5 linked regions of the Sus scrofa genome follow. The protein of the gene in region 2 binds, or shares a complex with, the protein of the main gene of each other region. Links are inferred from orthologs where the notes say so. Each region holds a gene or a part of one and is shown on either strand. Other genes may lie near its edges.

Region 1 (3,945 bases), on a different chromosome or scaffold from region 2:
TACAAGACGAATGCTTTTTTTTTTTTTTGCCTTTTTGCCTTTTCTAGGGCCGCTCCCTCGGTACATGGAGGTTCCCAGGCTAGGGGTCTAATTGGAGCTGTAGCTGCCAGCCTACGCCAGAGCTACAGCAACGCGGGATCCAAGCCACGTCTGCAACCTACACCAGAGCTCACGGCAACGCCGGATCCTTAACCCACTGAGCAAGGGCAGGGATCAAACCCACAACCTCATGGTTCTTGGTCAGACTCGATAACCACTGAGCCACAATGGGAACTCCAAGACGAATGCTTTAAATCAAATTCCGCTCACATATATAATTGTCTTCTCAAACTCCAAATTTTTTTTTAAAAACTGTAATAGAATAACTTAAATAACAGACTTTCCATTGTGGTAACCCTAAATAAATTATTTGAGTAATTACAACAATTTGGTATCATCTGAAAGCAAGTGCAATTTTCTGAAACAAAGCTACAAGTTCAGTAAAAAGCACATGTAAATTGCACATCATTTGCCACAGTCATGGTCTGGGCCTATACACTGCATCCAATATCTTCATCCAGCAGCCAAAAGCAAATCAGGGAAATTATACACATTGAGTTGTACTCTAACAGTTATTAATCAACAAAAATTTATTAAAAGCTTACTTTGGACAAGAAACAAAGTTAGGGTGGAAGATGAACACAACAGGAATTAAATGCACACAAACTGTATTGTGTATGATGGTTAGTTACACACAGTAGTGGACTCAACAGTAAGGACAATGGAAGCTGAGCGAGAAAAGAGCCTAAAACAGGGAGATCAGGATAGATTTCATCAAGTTTGGACCTGGAGTGTGCCACAGTGGATAGAAAGAAATCAGAAAGGAAGGACAATTACTAAAAATCAAGTATATATTGCACAAATCACATTCTGGAGAGTAATAAACCAGTCTGTCTTATTCATACAGAGAAAAGTAAGTGAAAAAGAGGCTGAAATTGGTAAAAGTGGAAGTCTGTCATTGACTACATTGAACATCCTTACCTAAGTGGAATGGTTCCTGTCCAACTACACCAGGAGGCAACTAGGTGTATTGCAAAGGGCATGCAAAGGCCTAAAACTGCATCCTGCAAACTTAAAAGCATTGTGGACTGCAGCATGTAACTAAATTCTTTGAGCTTTATTTTCTTCATCTATAAGGTGCAGACAGCACCTGACTTGTACGATCAAATATAAGTAAAAACTTGGCAGAGTCTTAACAATACAAGGGATTTAATAAATGGCTGCCATTATTAAATTCTGCACACCATGTAAGCTCTTCAAGGGTAAGACTACTTATTATTCATAGTTGAATTCCCAATGTCTACGAGAGCTTCTCGCATATAGTGAGACACTCAAATAACTGTTTATAAATGTATTTTGAATCAAATAGAGGTTTGAATTCAAAACTAAACAGTGGGGGTAATAGAACTACTGATCATTTTTGAAGATAACATGATAAAAAAAAAAAAAACTGGGAAAAGAAAGGCCTGGAAAAGATACCTGATATGTCCAAAATCACAACACCAAAAGGACAGGGACAGATCTGATTCCAAATACCCACTTTTTAAACACTGTACCATAAATCTTTTTAAGACATCATAAAAGAAAAGGTCTCAGATTTCCACTTACTAAAAACAAGATTTATTACTGAAAAAAAATAAGATGCCCTATTAAAGCCTATGAGCATTTCCCCCATCACTTTCACTGATCTGAATGATAGAATGGAAAACACAGCCTCAGACTTAAGTAGCAGTCTATACTTTAAGTAAATGCTAACTTATACACAGGGAGTATGAAGATAAGCTTTGGAGAGACAAACCTGAGTTCAATTTTCTGTCCTAGCGGTGAAAGACCCGGGTCAAAAATGACTTAACCTCTGAAGCTTCTGTTTCATTATCTGTTAAGTGATGATAATACTACCTATTTCAGACGTTTGTGGTGACTGATACAGAGTAAGAATTCAAACATTAGCTGTAGGTGTTGACGAGGTTACCGTACACAGCACAATCGACTGCAACACACAAGATACAGAATCTAAGATTTACACCCAGGCTACTTCCAATGCAATCTTCAGACATCATCCCAGAGAAGATACTGTAAATCTATTTCACAAGGAAGCCACAATCTTAAGAATTAAGCGCTGACTATGAAGAAAGGCAAACAACTGTTTAAGTAGTGAAGAGAAATTTAGGGGAAAACAAGTCACTTTTCATTGCTTGAACTGCGGTAACTTGCACACAAAAACCAAAGCTTTGTATCCCCATCACTGAGCACTGTGCCAGACACTGCGCGGGCCATCAAGTTTGCTGAAGACCACTCAAACGTGGCGTTCGGTTTAGCACCACCACAATGACCTCGCATGGAAAAGATTCGGGGCACCACGTGAGTTGAGAACAAGAGGCAGGCCCAGGGATTAAGGTCATGGGAGCAAAAGGGACTGCACCCCGGAAGGTAAGGAGACAGAAAACGGGGGTTACGGGTGGAGGCAAGAGAGCGGCCGCGCACGCGCATTCGCGACCCCTCCCAGGGCCGCGGACCTGCTGCGCGAGAAGCTGTCGCCGTAACTTCTGCCGTTCCCGGATCTCCTGCAAGCGGCTGTCCATGGCCCAACTCTTGTTTTCCACTACGTCGAAAATTTGGCAATGAGGAGATAAATTCCCCCACCAATCTTTCTTCCGAATGTGTGGAACACAAGATTCTCCAGCAGCTTCCAGCGGCGGGTACCCAATATTCTTTTCCTCAATAGGTATTTCCGGTGCGGTCCGAATTTGCTCCTCCAGACCGGAAGTCCCGCCTCTTCCTGGATGCCTGCGATTTGACGGCACCTACAAGGGAACCAATGAGGGTCCTGCAACACCAGCCCAGGAGAGGTTTCGGAAAGCTTTGCGGTTTGGTGGACGCAGCTGTCAAAAATGGAGTGGGCTGGTCTCCGGGCCTCTCATTTGAGCTTTCCTTTATGAGACTTAAGGCTCCCTTGGTGTGTTAGGAGTTGTGGGCCGCTTCGTTGATTCCTTTTGCCGTAAATTCCTCAGTTGCTAGTCCTAACGTTTTAAAAATTGCCGGGTAGAAGTTCCCATCGTGGCTCAGCAGAAAGGAATCTCACTAGCATCCATGAAGACGCAGGTTCCATCCCTGGCTCTGCTCAGTGGGTTAAGGGACTTGCGATGCGTTGAGCTGTGGTGTAGGTTGCAGTCTCGGCTAGGATGGCTTAGGCCGGCAGCTGTAGCTCTGACTCCACCCCTAACCTGGGAACCTCCATATGCCCCGGGTTTGGCCCTAAAAAGACAAAAATAAATAAAATAAAAATTACTGGATAGCATTGTCTTGCTGAAAGCACGAATTCGAGTCAAATTGCGGGGTTTGAACCCTGCACTAGCTGAGTGATTGGCTAGTCAATCAATTTCTTTGAGCCTCTATTTTTCTTATTTCTAAAATGGGCTTGAGGAGTGCCTACCTCACAGAGTTGCAAAGATTGAAAGAATAAACACAGCCAAACACATACTGCTATGGAAGTGTTTATTATTATTAAGATTTTTTTTTTTACGCTTACTTTCCCCTTCAGGCAGGGAACAACTACTTCCTCTGCCGGGGCTCTTCTTCACAACTTATTAGCCTTTGAGAAGTTTCCTATTTTATTTTTATTTTTTAATTTAATTTTTGTTTTTACAGCCGCACGTGCAGCTGATGGCTTACACCACAGCTGCGAGCAACAGAGGATCCAAGATGCATCTGTGTTGCAGCTTGAGGCAATGCCAGATCCTTAAACCACTGAGGGAAGCCAGGGAGCCAACCCTCATTCTCAGAAAGATAGTGTGGGCTCCTTAATCTGCCTAGCCACTACCTAAACTCCAAAAAGTTTCCTATTTTACCACGATGAATTTTATGGAGTGTTTTCGTTAGGGAAGTGGGTGGGTGGTAGTAAAATAT
Region 2 (3,513 bases):
CCATGAGGATGAGGTTTTGATCCCTGGCCTTGCTCAGTGGGTTAAAGGATCCCAGAATCGCCATGAGCTATGGTGTAGGTCGCAGCTGAGGCTCAGATCCTGAGTTGCTGTGGCTATTGCTCCAACTTGTGGCTATTACTCCAACTTGACCCCTAGCCTGGGAACCTTCATATGCTGTAGGTATGGCCCTAAAAGGACAAAAATAAATAAATAAATAAATGAATAAATAAATAAATAAAATCCACATATAAGTGGATAATCCTTGCTGTTCGAATTCATATTGCTCAAGAGTCAACCTGTATATATATTCTATGAAGATATCTCAGTTTACTTTGGTCAAGAAGGTATCTTAAATGATTTTCTTTCTTTATTGAACTATAAAAACAGAGCACATAAACATGAAACCACTCAGATTATACATACAGTTTAGAATCTAAAATTTTGAATATTTATACAGAAGATATATACTCATTCATAAATATAAAATGGACTAGAATTATATATCTACATTCTGAACTATTCTCTCCCAGAAAGAGAATACATGACATTCAACAATCTGAAAAGGAGGATTCACCTCCCTCTTTCTGAACAGTATCAAGCAGGAAAAACATGTACCTGTAGAACTAAGTGGTCGTAATGGTGGAAGAGGACCCCTGTTAAAATTGCTCTGGCCGCCACGACTTTCATTGTAAGTTCCTCGAGGAGTATTCTGAGCACTCCAACTGGAGCCTCGCGTTCCCTCCCGACGACTGTAGTTTCCTAAACACGGGCAACGCAATCAAAATCTACTTTTTTCATAACTTCAACTGGATTAAGGAAGTTATGACAGGTTTTACTTAATCTTCAAAAGTAATGGAAGTGAAATCATGAAATTTTGTAAATGGGATACAGGTGGAGTGGCAGCATTACATGTAGTTAGAAGACTCTGGAGCAGACTGCCAGGGTTCAAATACTGGTTCTGCCACCTATATTTACACATCCTGGTCAGCTGACCGACAAGTTTTCTATTACATGGTAACACTAAAAGAACTTACCTCATGGAGTTAATGAGAGTATTATACGTAATGCTTAAAATAGTTTCTTGGAAGTTCCTGTGTGGCACAGCAGGTTAAGGATCCAGCGTTGCTGCAGCTGTGGTGCAGGTCCCGACTGTGACACATGTTCAATCCCTGGCCCAGGAACCTCCCCCTGCCGTGGGTGCAGCCAAAAAAAAAAATTCCTAACACAACTATATGTTTACTATTAATGTAAATGCCTATTCTCTTTCATCCTCATAATCATGAAAATATGTCATCAATCCACTGACAAAGTGTAATTTTTATAAGTTTATATGTTAGAAACTCAGTTTCTAAAATCTTGAAGTAATTTAAAATATTAAACATAACATTAGGAAGCAAGTAGATAAGAGAGTCAATAGTGAACTACACAGAACTATCTTCAGGAAACTGCTGATAAGTACAACTGTTATAATAATGTATGGGTATTATTCAGAAAGGAAAAACACAACTCTCAGTGCAAAAAGGAAAATAATTAGGTAAGACTTCTTTTAAGCTCATCATTAAATATGCAATTAATCAAAAGTTAAACTAGAAATTGTTTTTTTCTATCCAATAAAGTACTCTGTAAATAGTACTACCTACCACTGGTCTAAAGGTAGCTTAACTATAATAACAGAAAAATACTTTATTTGATTGCTTCCATTTAAATCACTTCTATTCAGTATTTTAATATTCCAGTATCAGAATAACGCATTAGAAAACATACACAGTAGTTACCTTTTGAAGCAGGTGGTGTAAAAAATCTATTCTGACTGTGAAAAGCACCCCGTCCTCCCCGATTGCCTGAAAATCCACCACGAGAAGAAATCTTCTGTGATACTTTGAGTGGCCGTTTTGGAGGGGGTATCCCATCTTGAGGGACTACTTCTTTACTTTCAGCTGCAACAAAGTCATCCACATGCATGGATGGTGGTCTGCTTGTGTTCTGTTTTCTTTGACGAAAAATGTCATGAGGTCGTATACCCTGTCCAAATCCTCCTCGGCCCCTTCCTCTTGGTGGTGGCACAACATGAGCTCGTTTGGCAGGTTCAATGTATTCAGATTTTCCACTATTAAAAACAAAAATACTCCATGAAAACTTTTTCTTTTACACATTGCCAGTGAAAATATGTCATTCTTTGCAACATTGTAAGCTACATTTCAATTATTTCTTATCACAATTTTGCTAACTTTGTACTTCTCTCTATTACTTTCCAGGGAAACAAAATAAAACTAGTTAAGAATGGTGTTCATGGAGTTCCTGTTGTGGCTCAGTGGGAATGAATCCAACTAGGAACCATGAGGTTGCAGGTTGGATCCGTGGCTTCACTCAGTGGGTTAAGGATCCGGTGTTGTCGTGAGCTGTGGTGTAGGTCACAGACTTGGATTGGATCTGGCGTGGCTGTGGCTCTGGCGTAGGCCAGCAGCTGTAGCTCCAATTGGCCCCCTACCCTGAGAACTTCCATATCCGCAGGTGCAGCCCTAAAAAGACAAAAAAAAAAAAAAAGGAATGGTATTCACATTTTACTGATATGAAAACAATTTTTAAAAACAACCCAGTTCGCTCTTTTTCAAAGCTTCTAAACTCTTAGAAACTAAAACAATGTTAACAAATTTACAAGATATGTCCAGGACAAGTTACCTTTAAAAAAAACTTCAAAACAATATTCACGACTTAATTATTATGTCAACTTTCTTTTTCCTTTAATAGTCATGTGTCTATCTTAAAATATATTAAAACAAATAAGCTTACTTGACCCTAATCAAGATTTTCAGTAAAGTAAAATCTACCTTGAAGTTATAAAGGTCTCGTGCTTGTGTTTCCCAAGTTTGAATCCTTTAGTAGTCTTGGTTCTTCCTGGAGATGATGGTTCTGACAAAAATGAGCGCTCTAATTCTGAGTGCAAGTCAAAATCACTACAACACTTTTCAGAGAGCTCAATTAAGTCAACCTTTACCTGCAGTCATAAAACAAAATGAAAAACAAATCTTAAATATAACTATTAATGTATCATTATACTTTAAATGTAAATATTAATATAACATTTGATTACAGAAATTTATTTCCTATAAATTTGACTCTCATAACAAATAAATTATAGGCCTGCCTCATCTTTCCCTAATCTTAAAAAAAAAGCAACATTACTGGCAGTTTTTTCAAAATCTTAGGAATTCAGCTGCTTTTATTTTGGGGGTGGGGTAGGCTTGGGTGGTAGCATTCTTCCTCAAAGAAGTGCTATTAATCTGGGAGGCCTCTGCGGCCTGACAAAGAACTCAGAGTTTCTATATATAAACAGTGGTGTATCTCCAGAATTCTTCGAAATGAATCTGAAAAAACCATAATTCCACAAGCCTATAGTCAATATATCTGTTATAAAAGGATTATGTCGGAGTTCCTGTCATGGCTCAGAGGAAATGAATCTAATATCCATGAGGACGCAGGTTCGATCCCTAGCCTCGGGTTCAATCCCTGGCC
Region 3 (4,081 bases), about 68 Mb from region 2:
ACACAAATTTAAAGTTAAGCCACTTTAACTAGTGTTATAGCCAATCCAAATAAATTAAGCTCCCAGGTGATTATTTTTGACCTAAATTGACTTGCTTAGATGACTCACTGGTCAAAAAAAAGACCAAATAAGTTTAGTTTCCTAAGCCTCACGATATAGACTGAGGGAGCATGAAAGTTGAAGGAGAAATTCAGGGAGCCTATACTGGTATGTGTGGCAGTGGCCAGGGCTCTGCTAGGCTTAGTGGCTTGCCATTCAAAATACCAGAAAGCTTGATGGAAGCTATTGCCCACATGTGGCTGCAGCAGGAAGGCTTAGCTAAGCGGGGGTGGGGGGGGGGTGACAGCCTATCTCGTATCAAGAGGACTGGTAAATTAATGGGTAGACAGAAATAGCCTGGATTCCATTATCTCTTTTGATAACTAGAGTCAAAACATAATTGTGTGTGTGTGCACACGTACAAGTGTCCACGACAGAAGTGAAAAATGACATGGTATGTTGATCCAAGCTATAGTTAAAATAAGTGATTTGTTTTCATTTTCTTTGTGTTCTTTAAAGTATGAAGTGCCTTAGTGAGGGTGTATCAGCCTATGTTCACACATGTGCTTTAGAGAGGGCTGAAAGAGGATAAAAGTGACCCATGGTTTAGAAAGCCAAGACTGAGCACTTTTTCTAGTGTTGGTGATGGAGCTGTTGAGGTCCCGTCCAGGCTTTCATCTGGTCTTGTGATCTCTGGCCAGATTTGCGAGGGTAACTGGCCCGGTGAAGAGGATCTTTCAGCGGTCAGGAAAACACAGATTCCCTGAGCATCAGAGCAGCATGTTGATCTCTCCTTTCAATGCCTTGTCAGAAACCAAAAAATAGTGTTGAGGAAAGTAGCCATTGCCTATTCTGACCTCAATGCTGACCCCTTGGAGCCTTGGAGCTGTACAACTCAAACGCCCTAGAGGAAACAGCCCAGGCGGAGAGCAAACATAGCTAAGCTGTCTAAATGAAGTGCTTTCTCCGTCTCCTATAAAATCAGTTTTAGATTAAAAAGGAAAAGCAAAATAAAAGTTATGCACATGAAAGAAAGTTGTGCAATTAAAAGGTATCAGTGTTTTCAATCAAATGTGCTCTTTCCACCCCTTCCTTCCTATGTTTTATTATTTGTGTATTCTCAATACACACAGAGACAGTTATGATTACAATATGAAATTTGTCCTGGGCGCTGAAAGCCATTTGATTTCCTGGCAGATGCAAAAAAAAAAAAACCCTGAAGCTGGGGATTTAAAAAACAATTCTCCCGCTCATAGTAGTAGATTAAAATTTTCTGTTTCATTTTCTTGCAAAGTGAGTGGTCTCCTGACTGTAATGCTTGTTTTGTTTGCAGAATACGTCTCTTTTACCCATAGACATATATGCAATAGCTAAAATAGCAAACAATCACTTAGAACACAGTTTGCATCCTAAAGTCATTTATTTGTGGTTTGTGGGGGTTTTTTTTTAAAAAAAAGCTTTATTAAGATATAATTTATATACCATAAAGTTTACCCATTTAGAGCTTACAATTCATTGGTTTTTAGTATACTTAAAGAGCTGTGCGTGTGGCTCATCCTGCAGCACTGTTACAGAAAGCCTCTGCTATAATTTCTCCTAGGTGACTAAGCCCTAATATAATTATCTCTTTCATTTATTTAGACATTTTATAGGGCAGTAGTTAAGAGCATGAACTCTAGAACCAGCTAGCCTGGATTAAATCCCAGCTCTGCTGTGGGTCTCAAAAGAGTTACTGTTAATCCCTCTGAGCCTTTATTTTCTCATCTATAAAATGGGAACAATCATAGAACCTCTTTACTGGGAGGATTAAAAGGGTTAAAATATATGGTTGGCATCCTCAGAGTCAACCAACCATGGGTCATCTGACTGTACAAGGAGCTTAGAAGAGTGCCTGGCACATGGTAAGCATATATTGCTATCACTAGTATATTTTCTCTTTGAACTTAAGTACGTAGAATTGAATTAATCACAATCCTTAGTTCATGACACACAATCATCAGTGGTTCATCTATGGGCCTTTAAACTTTTCACTTAGTCAAGAACATAATGAATACCCATGAACCTATCATTCAATCCAACAAGTAGAAAGTTACCAATAATCTGCATCTACCTAAATGTTCCTCCCTTATCCACTGCCTACCCTCATAGATAGCAACTATCCTGAACCTGGTATTTAGCAATCCCTTGTTTTGTTTTAAAAACTTAAAAAAATTTTTAAGGAACTTTAAGGAATCCATATATGTGTATGCGTGCAAATGTGTGTTCACGCACATGCACATACATGCGCCTTAAATGTATGTTATTTTAGTTTTGCTCGTTTTGTAACTTCATACTAACTTGTAATCTGAGATTTGCATTTTTCACTCATTATGTTACTATGACTCTTTTTTATTATCAGAAGACTTTCAAGAAATGGATCATTTCCTTCTCTTTTGATGTTCTGAGATTGTTATGCTGCCATATGATCTAATACGGCTTTTCAAGTTCCAGCCATAAAATAACCATTCCAGTCACCCAGCGGGTGAAGATGGAACAACATGTCCTCCTCCTTTTAAGACACTTCCCAGAAGTGACTCACTAAAACTCCGCTTCTATCTCATTCACCAAAACATAGACCTGCAACCACACTTAGCAAGGAATGCTGGGGGGTATAATTCTGTATCTTACTTTAGCCCAACTAAAAATCAGGAGTCTTAAAAAGAAAAAAATTTATTGAAACTTCGTTCATTTACAATGTTGTGCCAATTTCTGCTGTACAGCAAAGTGACCCAGCTCTACATTCTTTTTCTTACATTATCTTCCATCATGGTCTCTTCCAGGAGATAGTTCCCTGTGCTATACAGTAGGACCTTATTTTTTAGCCATTCTAAATGTAATAGTTTGCATCCACTAATCCCAAACTCCCAGTCTATCTCACTCCCTCCCCCTTCCCCTTGGCAACCACAAGTCTGTTTTCTGCCTCTGTGAGTCTGTTTCTGTTCTGTAGATAGGTTCATTTGTGCCATATTTTAGATTCTACATGTAAGTGATATCATATGGTATTTGTTTTTCAGGGGTCTTATTTCTAAGGAAAAGAGGGAGAACAGGTCTTGGGGTCACCAACAGTCTCTTCCACAACTACCTACAGGGTGAATTTCAAGACACAATGTATATAAAGCTGATGGTACATACTTAGCAAGAGTCAATTAAAACAGTCATTTTATGATTTCCCTTACATTATCCAATTTAATCCTCATAGTAATCATATGCGTTAGGGCAAATATGATTATCTTAATTGCAGACTTGGAAACTGAGATTTAGAGAGGCTAATTACAGCTGTGCCAGTGGTGGTAATTTTTGTTTGTTTTGTTTTAAAGAAAGAGGCAGTAGAGTCAAAGGGAAAGGAGCAGGAGCCCAAATCTAGAGTCCTAGCTTCTCTTGACAAAATCTGCCTCCCATAAAATCCTAGAATTCTATGTTCTGTGACTTTCTGGATCTGGCACATAAATCCGCAGGGTGTGGGACAGAACCTGAGGCCAGTAACTACCACTGTGGGTCGCTTTCCACCATATCCCGTGTGAACCTGGTTGTTGGAAACGACATGCTCTTCAGCAGCAGCCTCTCCTTCCCACAGGTTGAAATCTGAACAAATAAATGAGATTACATAACTCACAACTAGATAATAAAAATAAAAGCCAGCCTTTACTGAGTAATGACATACCAGGTGCTCTGCTAAAACTTTCCTCCCATTGGCTTGCTTTAGCCTCGCAACAACCTGTGGAGATGGATAGGCTTATAATTCTCTCTTTTTTTTTTTATCAGTTAAGGAAACTGAGGTTTAGAGAGCCAATATAATTTACAGATATTTAAGAAGAATAATATATGTCCTATAGAATTATTTGTTTTTTTTCCCAGTCTGTGAAAAGCATTTGTTTTGAAGTCATCCTTACATATTATGGGTGACTCCCCAGTGTTCATTCTCCCCTTCTTTGCAGTACTTTGACAGGAAAATATTTTATAACAAATGATATAGACAATTCCTTAGGTAACTAATGTAGTGGGA
Region 4 (3,513 bases), on a different chromosome or scaffold from region 2:
TTCCTGGTTTTGAACGGACCAGCACCAAATTACACAAGAGACAGATTAAATGCATACATGAGTAGTAACAAACCAATGGAACTAAAATAACTGGGAAAGTTTAGCTCCAAAGAACCTATTCATACCACCATCAGAAAACCTAGACAAAAGCAATTTCAATTACAGGACAAAGGCAAGTTTTCTGTTTTAAGTCTTAGAATTTAAAAATTACATAAGGAGTGGGGATATTCTTTTTGTACTGGGGCACAGAAACAGACCAAACAGGGAAAAAAATCACTATCAGTTATTTCACAAGTATTTACTGACTACTACTCTGTGTCAGGTACTGTACATAATCAGTAAGAACAGGTCACTAGACATTAAATAATGCAATAAACAACAAGTCCTATTCCTTAGGGAACTTACATTGACTATCATATTAGTTTACTAACAAAGCTATCAGAGCACCAAAAAATAAGACTACTTGGTAACAAACAATCAAATCGCTACAGTGTATATTTTCATTGTTTAGATTTAGCTTGTCCCTGACTAATAATCACTTTAGCCTGATTTTGCTATGCAATAGATTTTAACTGGAAATGCCAATAGAAAAGACACAGAAGGAAATAGCTTTAGAGACGGCTAAGACTTCAGGGGTTTCACTACATCATTTTATGCCCACAGGGAGTTACTTGCTTAAGAGCACAGAACCAGTTGAACAAGGGAGAAAGAATGGGATAAGAACTCAAAATACTGGTCATTTTTCAGGTTAACACACACTATTATAATTTACATTTCTTATACACAGTCTATATTTATTGGGCCAAGTTAAAATCAAGAGTCTTACTGATTTTGTTAACAGTTGAAGAAAGAACATGGATTCATGAAATACATATAACAAAATTTGTGGAAATTTTATATTAGTAGAAAAGCCCAATTCTTTTAAACTTTTTACTCTCATGAACATGATTTAATATTAAGGAATCTTACTGCTTTCACCTTTTACCCCCTTTCCTTCTTGTTATACTCCTCCTCTCCCTTAATAAAGTATTAATAAGCTACCTGGAGTTCCCATCATGGCGCAGTGGTTAACGAATCCGACTAGGAACCATGAGGTTGCGGGTTTGGTCCCTGCCTTTGCTAGGTCGGTTAACGATCCGGCGTTGCCGTGAGCTGTGGTGTAGGTTGCAGACGCGGTTCGGATCCAGCGTTGCTGTGGCTCTGGTGTAGGCTAGTGGCTACAGCTCCGATTCGACCCCTAGCCTGGGAACCTCCATATGCCGCGGGAGCGGCCCAAGAAATAGCAAAAAGACAAAAAAAAAAAAAAAAAAAAAAAAAAAGCTACCTAAATGTAATAAGGTAGGTACTAGGTAAGAGAAACAGAAAAAAAAAAAAAAAAAAAAAAAGTAGTGTTCTAGAATAATGAAAAACTGTAACAGGAAGGTCTACAATCAACCTTGATAAGAATGTTTTCAAGCACAACAGCAGCAGCTAATATTTACTGAGCATCACTGTATGTCAGAAACTGTTCAAAGCGTTTTACTTGTAATATTCATTAGCTCCTCCTAACAATCCTATGACCTTGGTGGTATAATTATCTCCAGTGTGTAGATGACAAGAACACAAAGAGCGTTTAAATAAATTAAGTGCTGCGCAGATGTGGAATCCAGGCCATCTGGCCTGAGAGGAAGCTCTTAACCACTTTGTTAAAGGCTCAACCTAAACATCTGCATTTGAGTAGACTTCCCCACTTCCCAGGGCAAAAGGCTGCCAAAATAATCAGTTTGCTTACATACGAAAACTAGCTAGTTCACTTTTCCCAGGCCTGCTTCATTTAGCCCTGGGTAAACCATTAAGCACTCTGACATTAGAACCTACCTGTTAAAAAGTAATTTTGATACAGAAAGATCATCATGCTATTTTTAACAACTTTTCTATAGGCTTAAATTTTTCTCAAATCGAAATAAACATTGACTATGAGGATTAAATGATGAAAATAAGTGATTCCTTAAAAAAAAAAGTTCCTATATCGTAACTGCTACATGAGAACAAAAGAGAATCCTTTTCACAGGCATCTTAGTAACTATATTAGACATTATACAGTCTAAGTGGGAGGGAATTACCTTTGGGTTTTTCTAAAAGTCTCTGACACGTTTCTTTGACTTTAGTGAAGAGTTCAGAACCAGCCAACTTTTTAGAAATCCCAACTCTCAGCATTACCGCTCCGGGTGTGAATTTTAACAGTGCAGCCCCAGGCTCTCGTGGCTCTTTTGGATGCTTTGGCATAAGGCCAGACCAATCCACATCGATCACATCTAATGGATCTATAAAAAAATTAAAGAACAGATTTTCATTACACTAAGAAATACCATTCTTGTTGTCTATAGAGAAAGAAATATAGACTACTAGAAATAGAAATTAAGAGCCCCATTTAAAATCAACATTAAAGAAAAAAAAAAATCTAGAAATAAATTTCAACCCAGGAGGTAAAAGAGCTATATACTCTGCAAACTACAAGACACTGATGAAACGAACTGAAGACAACACAAATGAATGGAAAGATATCCAAGTTCAGGAACTGGAACACTTAATATTATAAACATCCATACTACCCAAAGGAATTTACAGATTCAATGCAAGCCCTATCAAAATTCTAATGGCACTTTTCACAGAAAAAGAATAAACAATCCTAAAATGTGCATGGAACCACAGGAGACTCAGCACAGCAAGGCAATCTTGAGAAAGAAAAACAAAGCTAGAGGCACCACACTCTCTGACTTCTAACTATATTACAATGCTATTTTCAAAGCAGTATAATACACAAAAACATATATATATGAATGAAACAGAACAGACAGGCCAGAAATAAACCCATGCATATATGCTCAATTTATGACAAGAGGGCCAGGAATATACAAATGGGAAAAGCACAGTCTCTTCTATAAAAGCTGTTGGGAAAATGGGACAGCCATTTACAAAATAATAATTATCTTACACTACACACAAAAATTAACTCAAAATGGACTAAAGACTTGATTGCAAGAATTGAATCCTTAAATCTCCTAGAAGAAAACTTAAGTGTTATTAGCTCTTTGACATTACTCTTGGTGATATTTTTTGGAAACCAACTCCAAATGCAATGGCAACCAAAGCAAAAATAAAGAAATGCAACTACATCAAACTAAAATCTCCTGCAAAGTGAAGGAAACTATCAACAAAATAAAAAGGCAACATAATAAATGGGAGAAGAGATCTGCAAATCTTATATCCATTAAGGGGTTCATATCCAAATATTTAAAGACAAAAAACAGACAGTCCCATTAAAAAATGGGCAGAGTGGAGTTCCCATCATGGCGCAGTGGAAATAAATCTAGGAACCATGAGGTTGTGGGTTCGATCCCTGGCCTTGCTCAGTGGGTTGAGGATCTGGCGTTGCCATGAGCTGTGGTGTAGGTCACAGATGAGGCTCAGAACTGGCATTGCTGTGGCTCTGGCATAGGCTGGCAGCTACAGCTCTGACTGGACCCCTAGCCT
Region 5 (4,249 bases), on a different chromosome or scaffold from region 2:
CATTCTGAGTTTGTCTGGGGGTTTTATTGAGAATCAGAACATGTAGAACAATTTCCTTTTGAATATGCCAAGTGAAAACATAAAGCCTTAACAAAAGCCCTTGGATATTACAGAGAATGAGAATTAAGGATACAACTGGTCATTTAAAGTGAAATTCACTTTACAAGGCATTAACACTTTTACATATGTTTTTTAAAGATTTTTGTTTATAATTTTATCTTGAAATAAAGAAACCAAAAATATTTTTACAAAATTTAGGTCACATTTACAACTAAGTGCAAATTCTAAGAAAAGCCAAAGAATGAATCAAGTGTTAATTAGGAGTTTTGGGGAGTAATTTTTTTTGACAAAATTCTATTAGCCCGCCACAGAATAACCTTCATCTTATGATTGACTTATTCAGCATCATCACAAAACCAGTCATTTTTGCATAACATGCATCAATTTCCCCAGGTGGCTTCATCAATTTCCCATGGTGCTTCTTAATCCTTTGCTTTAGGATCATCCTTTTGAGATGCCTATCCTGTTATAATGTTTTCAATTAACTAACTAACTGCTATTTCCTCACTTGCCCAAGATTTTGTGATTCAAGGAATTATCAAATTCACATACAAATTTCATGAAAACCTGAATCTTTTGTAAGGTTTGTAATCACAATCAATGTACAGCATCTGATACTATTTCCTGATATGAAACACCAAGGACACTGCCTTATAACAAAATTAAGTAAAAGAAAAGAAGCTGGTGTTAAGTGGCAGAAATATCTGAGCAGGAACTTTCTAAGTAGTCAGCTCATTAGTGAATATGTTCATGTTAAGATGACTTTTATTTTCTTGGGCAAACTTTTAATTTAGAGAACTGGGGTAATAAATACTCAGATACACACCTACCCATATTATATTTTCCTAACATAACATCCTCTGAACTGTGGAAGGTGCCTGACTGCCCATTTCAGTCTAAGCTCAAATGAGAAAAATCTTGCTATTGTGGCATGTCTGCTACTCCAAGACCAAGATCCCAGAGTTTTGATTCTATAAAATTTTCAAACACTAGAGTTCCATAGAGTCTGGTTCTAGGTCCTCTTCTCTTCTGTATTCCTGTTCCTGAAGTGATCTTATCCATCCCCATGCCTTAAAATAACAGCTATGCGGTACTAAATCCCCAACTTTCTCTCACCTCTACTTAACATCTTGTATGTCTCAATACACATCTGGTACTCTGTTTTCCAGTAATGGGCACTACCTAACTATTCAAAACAGAAACCAAGGCATGTCTCCTTTCTCTTACATACCTCCAAAGAAATCCACCAGTGCATGTTTTAGTTCTACCACTAAAAGATTTACTGCATCTGCCCACTCTTCTTTTCACTAAACCAAGCCTCCCTTTTGGTGTACTGCACTCACCCCCTAAGTTTTCTATTTTCTTTTCTTGCCTCCTTCTCTTACACCATTCTCCAGAGAACCTATTATGTTTTTACAAAGAGATTGTTACCCCTCTATTTCTGTTCAGTGGCTTCATACTGCACTTAAAATTCAAGTGTTTACCATGGACTTCAAAGTCTTTCACCATCTCACTCCTGCCTTCCTTTCCAATCTCGTCTTGGCGTTCCTTCCCTCTTGCTAACTAAGGTGCAGCTGATTGTTCTTTCCTACATTTTCCCACCTCAGAGTCTTACTTTCGGTAAATTCTTTCCACCTGATTTATTCCATGAGGGATTCTTCTCGTCCATCAGATTTCAGCTTACAAATGTTACTTTTCCAAAAAGATCTTTCCTGACTCTCCCTGGAGCTTCCTCCTAGTAGTCTTTACCATGGCACCCATTTATTTTCTTTAAAGCAATCATAATCTGTAAATATTTAAGTTTTGGGTTTTTTTTTTTAAAACTTATTATGTCTTTCCCAACAGTACCTAACCTCAAAAAGAACATAGACTCAGTGTATCTTGTTTACCATTCCATCTTCAGGCCTTGAAGAGTGTGTGTAAGATACACGTACAAAATTAAGTAGGTAGCTGATGACAGAGGACATCCCGACTAATAGTTAATACTGGAAAAAGCCTTCTCTAAGCCTAGATATAACCATACGGAGCAGTGTCTAACTCCAAAGGTACTCATTCAATATCCAAAAAACACAAGGAAGCAAAAGCCAAAAGACACACAACAAAGAGTGGAGCCATTCTTACTTGGAGAAAAGGATGAGAGTATCTTGATTTTAAGCTCAAGATTGATGGTTAAGGACCACAGCCGAAGAGCGGGGCACGCTTTTGGCTTAAGCAGAAAAGCTGCTCCCGGTATGATTCCGAAAACCATATCCGACTCCCTTCTCCCACCTCTAGTCCATGAAAGACCAAGCGGTGACCACCGCAGCACCCGCCCAAAGCTGACTGAGACAGCAGGAAGTCTCCAATCCACTCTCGCGCAACGACTCCCAGTTCAATGAGGCTTCCCCGACTCCGAGATTGGAATCTACCCGCCAGTCCCCATAACGTAGGGCACGGCACCCAGAATGAGGAAAAAAAGAGCCGGCGCTCTCTCCTCCCCGCGTGGCCTGCGCCGCCCGCTGTCCCAGCTCGGAGCTTAGCAGAAACAGAAAAGGAACGGCTGTTGCCGGCACTGAGGCTGTAGGTACCACACCGGAGGGTAGGCCGGGAAGTAGCAGGCCCTGGCCGGACACGGAAAAGGGTCTGTGAGATTTCTTTTTCCCCGCGACACCTCAGTGCTGTGGGGCGAGCGTAACCCCTCTATGCCGGCTGGGCGACCAGTCCCAGGCCGGCCAAGGGGGCATGGAACCGGGACCCCCACTGCCTCCGCCTCCTTACCAGTGTGATCCATGATTCGGCTCGCGGGGCACAGTGGGAGCGGAAGTCAACGGCGCCGGAGTCGCAGGGAGCGCGTGCGCGCTACCTTCCGGAGCCCGAGAGGCGGAAGTGCGACCAGCTCGCCCAGGCTGGGGCCCTTAAAGACGTCTTCCTCTCTCCTTGGCTAGCCGACTCCGGTGAGAGAGTCAGGCATAGTTCAGGCAGAGCGAGAGAGAAAGAGCGAGTACGCGAAAGGCTACACTGTCGAGACTGCTAAAGCTTCCTCTCATGTGCTTCAAGAGGGAGTAGCCTTTAACTGTGGAATGGAGACCGACCGGAACCTAGGAGGAGGGGAGCAGCAGTAGCCACAGAACTAAGCTCGCGGCAGGTAAAGCGGCCGCCCGCTCCGCAGAGCTTTGCCTTCTGGGATATGTAGTGCGCCGCGACACTGGAGCCGGCCGGGCCCACTGCGCAGGCTCGGCCGTTAGGCTGGCCCCACCCCGGCGGGCGGAGTAACGGTTTGGAATCCCCCTGAGTCCGCGAGCGGAGGTCTCCTCCCCCACGGCCAGGAAAACTGTAAACACGAGCTCTGCGCAAGGCGTTCTCCAGTGGGAGGATGCCCGGGGGAAGGTGGAGCTGTGTGAGGCTCTCAGCAAAGCAAGAAAGGCTCTATGCTTACTGTCTACATTTTGCTTTGTCGTGAAGAACTGCAGAGATCCACGCAGAGCTGACTTGAGTATCAGCCCTGATTCCCACCCATTTCTAACGCTTGATGAGCATTCATTTTCTAGGCAGAACGCTTGTGGGGCTAGGATCCCTCCGAACATCCCGCCTAAGGACTGGATGCAGGGCCAGCTGGAGGGCAGGTGCCATGCAGCCGCTTCTTGTTAGAGGAAAGCGGGGACTCAAGTGCATGGTGGAGCTGAGGGTGAGGAGAGCATGTTAGGGCTGGCCGTAGGGGAGAGGTGAAAGAGGAAAGGCTTAAATGAGGAAGAGATAGCAGCATGGGCAGTACCTAGTTCCAGTTCTTGGTCCCGGGGGTTCGTGGTTGCTGCCGCTTTCATCGTCCTCAGCTGAAACAAAAGGCAGGTGCCCAAGAGGGATTCCTGAGGGCCTTCAGTTGGGTCTCCACTTCCAGGCCCTGGCGCATCTGTGTTCACTCCCTTCTCCACCCTTTCACACTTGACGGTCTTGGATGAGTAGAAAGGAGTGCAATTAGTGGAAAACACAAGCTGGGAGTCCAGGGATTTGGGTTCTATTCTTGTTGTCTCTGGGTGACGACAGCATTACCTCGTGTTATTCAGGCTTTCAATGCCAGAGTTCCTAGATCAGAGATTATCGTATTGATCTTTTAGAGAAGTACTTTTGATCTCATGGAGACAGCAGTGAGTGATGGCTTGGAGCAAAATCTTTAATTCTCCGCTCAGGAATTGAACCTGGGCAGCCTGGATGA

Evidence for each region.
Region 1: KIAA1429 (region 2) and METTL14 share a complex: the UniProt entries of both Homo sapiens proteins name them as parts of the WMM complex. The link is inferred for Sus scrofa from reciprocal best matches to the Homo sapiens genes VIRMA and METTL14.
Region 3: KIAA1429 (region 2) and RBM15 share a complex: the UniProt entries of both Homo sapiens proteins name them as parts of the WMM complex. The link is inferred for Sus scrofa from reciprocal best matches to the Homo sapiens genes VIRMA and RBM15.
Region 4: the proteins of KIAA1429 (region 2) and ZC3H13 are in contact, whole or in part, in a cryo-EM structure (PDB 7VF2), measured with the Homo sapiens proteins. The link is inferred for Sus scrofa from reciprocal best matches to the Homo sapiens genes VIRMA and ZC3H13. Residues at the interface, in NP_056311.2 of Homo sapiens: Leu521, Ser529, Tyr531, Gln532, Leu535, Glu536, Ile538, Leu539, Leu540, Asp541, Val544, Val547, Thr548, Ser551, Leu554, Gln555, His558, Glu561, Val562, Ser564, Glu565, Lys567, Gly570, Asp571, Ala574, Glu575, Thr577, Ser578, Glu621, Glu625; in NP_001317494.1 of Homo sapiens: Pro1492, Leu1493, Asp1494, Val1495, Ile1496, Asp1497, Val1498, Asp1499, Trp1500, Ser1501, Gly1502, His1507, Leu1518, Lys1520, Phe1521, Pro1523, Val1526, Met1527, Arg1529, Val1530, Gly1531, Ile1532, Ser1533, Lys1535, Leu1536, Ala1537, Gly1538, Leu1541, Lys1544, Val1545.
Region 5: KIAA1429 (region 2) and CBLL1 share a complex: the UniProt entries of both Homo sapiens proteins name them as parts of the WMM complex. The link is inferred for Sus scrofa from reciprocal best matches to the Homo sapiens genes VIRMA and CBLL1.

What each region holds. Positions count from the first base shown.
Region 1 is NC_010450.4:105,050,802-105,054,746, forward strand, and holds the start of METTL14 (N6-adenosine-methyltransferase subunit METTL14), read right to left. Parts: upstream 2,803-3,945; 5' UTR 2,622-2,802; coding exon 2,556-2,621; intron 1-2,555. UniProt on the Homo sapiens protein: The METTL3-METTL14 heterodimer forms a N6-methyltransferase complex that methylates adenosine residues at the N(6) position of some mRNAs and regulates the circadian clock, differentiation of embryonic stem cells and cortical neurogenesis.
Region 2 is NC_010446.5:42,231,918-42,235,430, reverse strand, and holds part of KIAA1429 (protein virilizer homolog), read right to left. Parts: intron 2,996-3,513; coding exon 2,829-2,995; intron 2,108-2,828; coding exon 1,776-2,107; intron 760-1,775; coding exon 616-759; intron 1-615. UniProt on the Homo sapiens protein: Associated component of the WMM complex, a complex that mediates N6-methyladenosine (m6A) methylation of RNAs, a modification that plays a role in the efficiency of mRNA splicing and RNA processing.
Region 3 is NC_010446.5:109,788,743-109,792,823, forward strand, and holds the start of RBM15 (putative RNA-binding protein 15), read right to left. Parts: upstream 2,814-4,081; 5' UTR 1-2,813. UniProt on the Homo sapiens protein: RNA-binding protein that acts as a key regulator of N6-methyladenosine (m6A) methylation of RNAs, thereby regulating different processes, such as hematopoietic cell homeostasis, alternative splicing of mRNAs and X chromosome inactivation mediated by Xist RNA.
Region 4 is NC_010453.5:21,379,052-21,382,564, reverse strand, and holds part of ZC3H13 (zinc finger CCCH domain-containing protein 13), read right to left. Parts: intron 2,304-3,513; coding exon 2,103-2,303; intron 1-2,102. UniProt on the Homo sapiens protein: Associated component of the WMM complex, a complex that mediates N6-methyladenosine (m6A) methylation of RNAs, a modification that plays a role in the efficiency of mRNA splicing and RNA processing.
Region 5 is NC_010451.4:107,455,203-107,459,451, reverse strand, and holds the start of CBLL1 (E3 ubiquitin-protein ligase Hakai), read right to left. Parts: upstream 2,808-4,249; 5' UTR 2,309-2,807; coding exon 2,182-2,308; intron 1-2,181. UniProt on the Homo sapiens protein: E3 ubiquitin-protein ligase that mediates ubiquitination of several tyrosine-phosphorylated Src substrates, including CDH1, CTTN and DOK1. Targets CDH1 for endocytosis and degradation.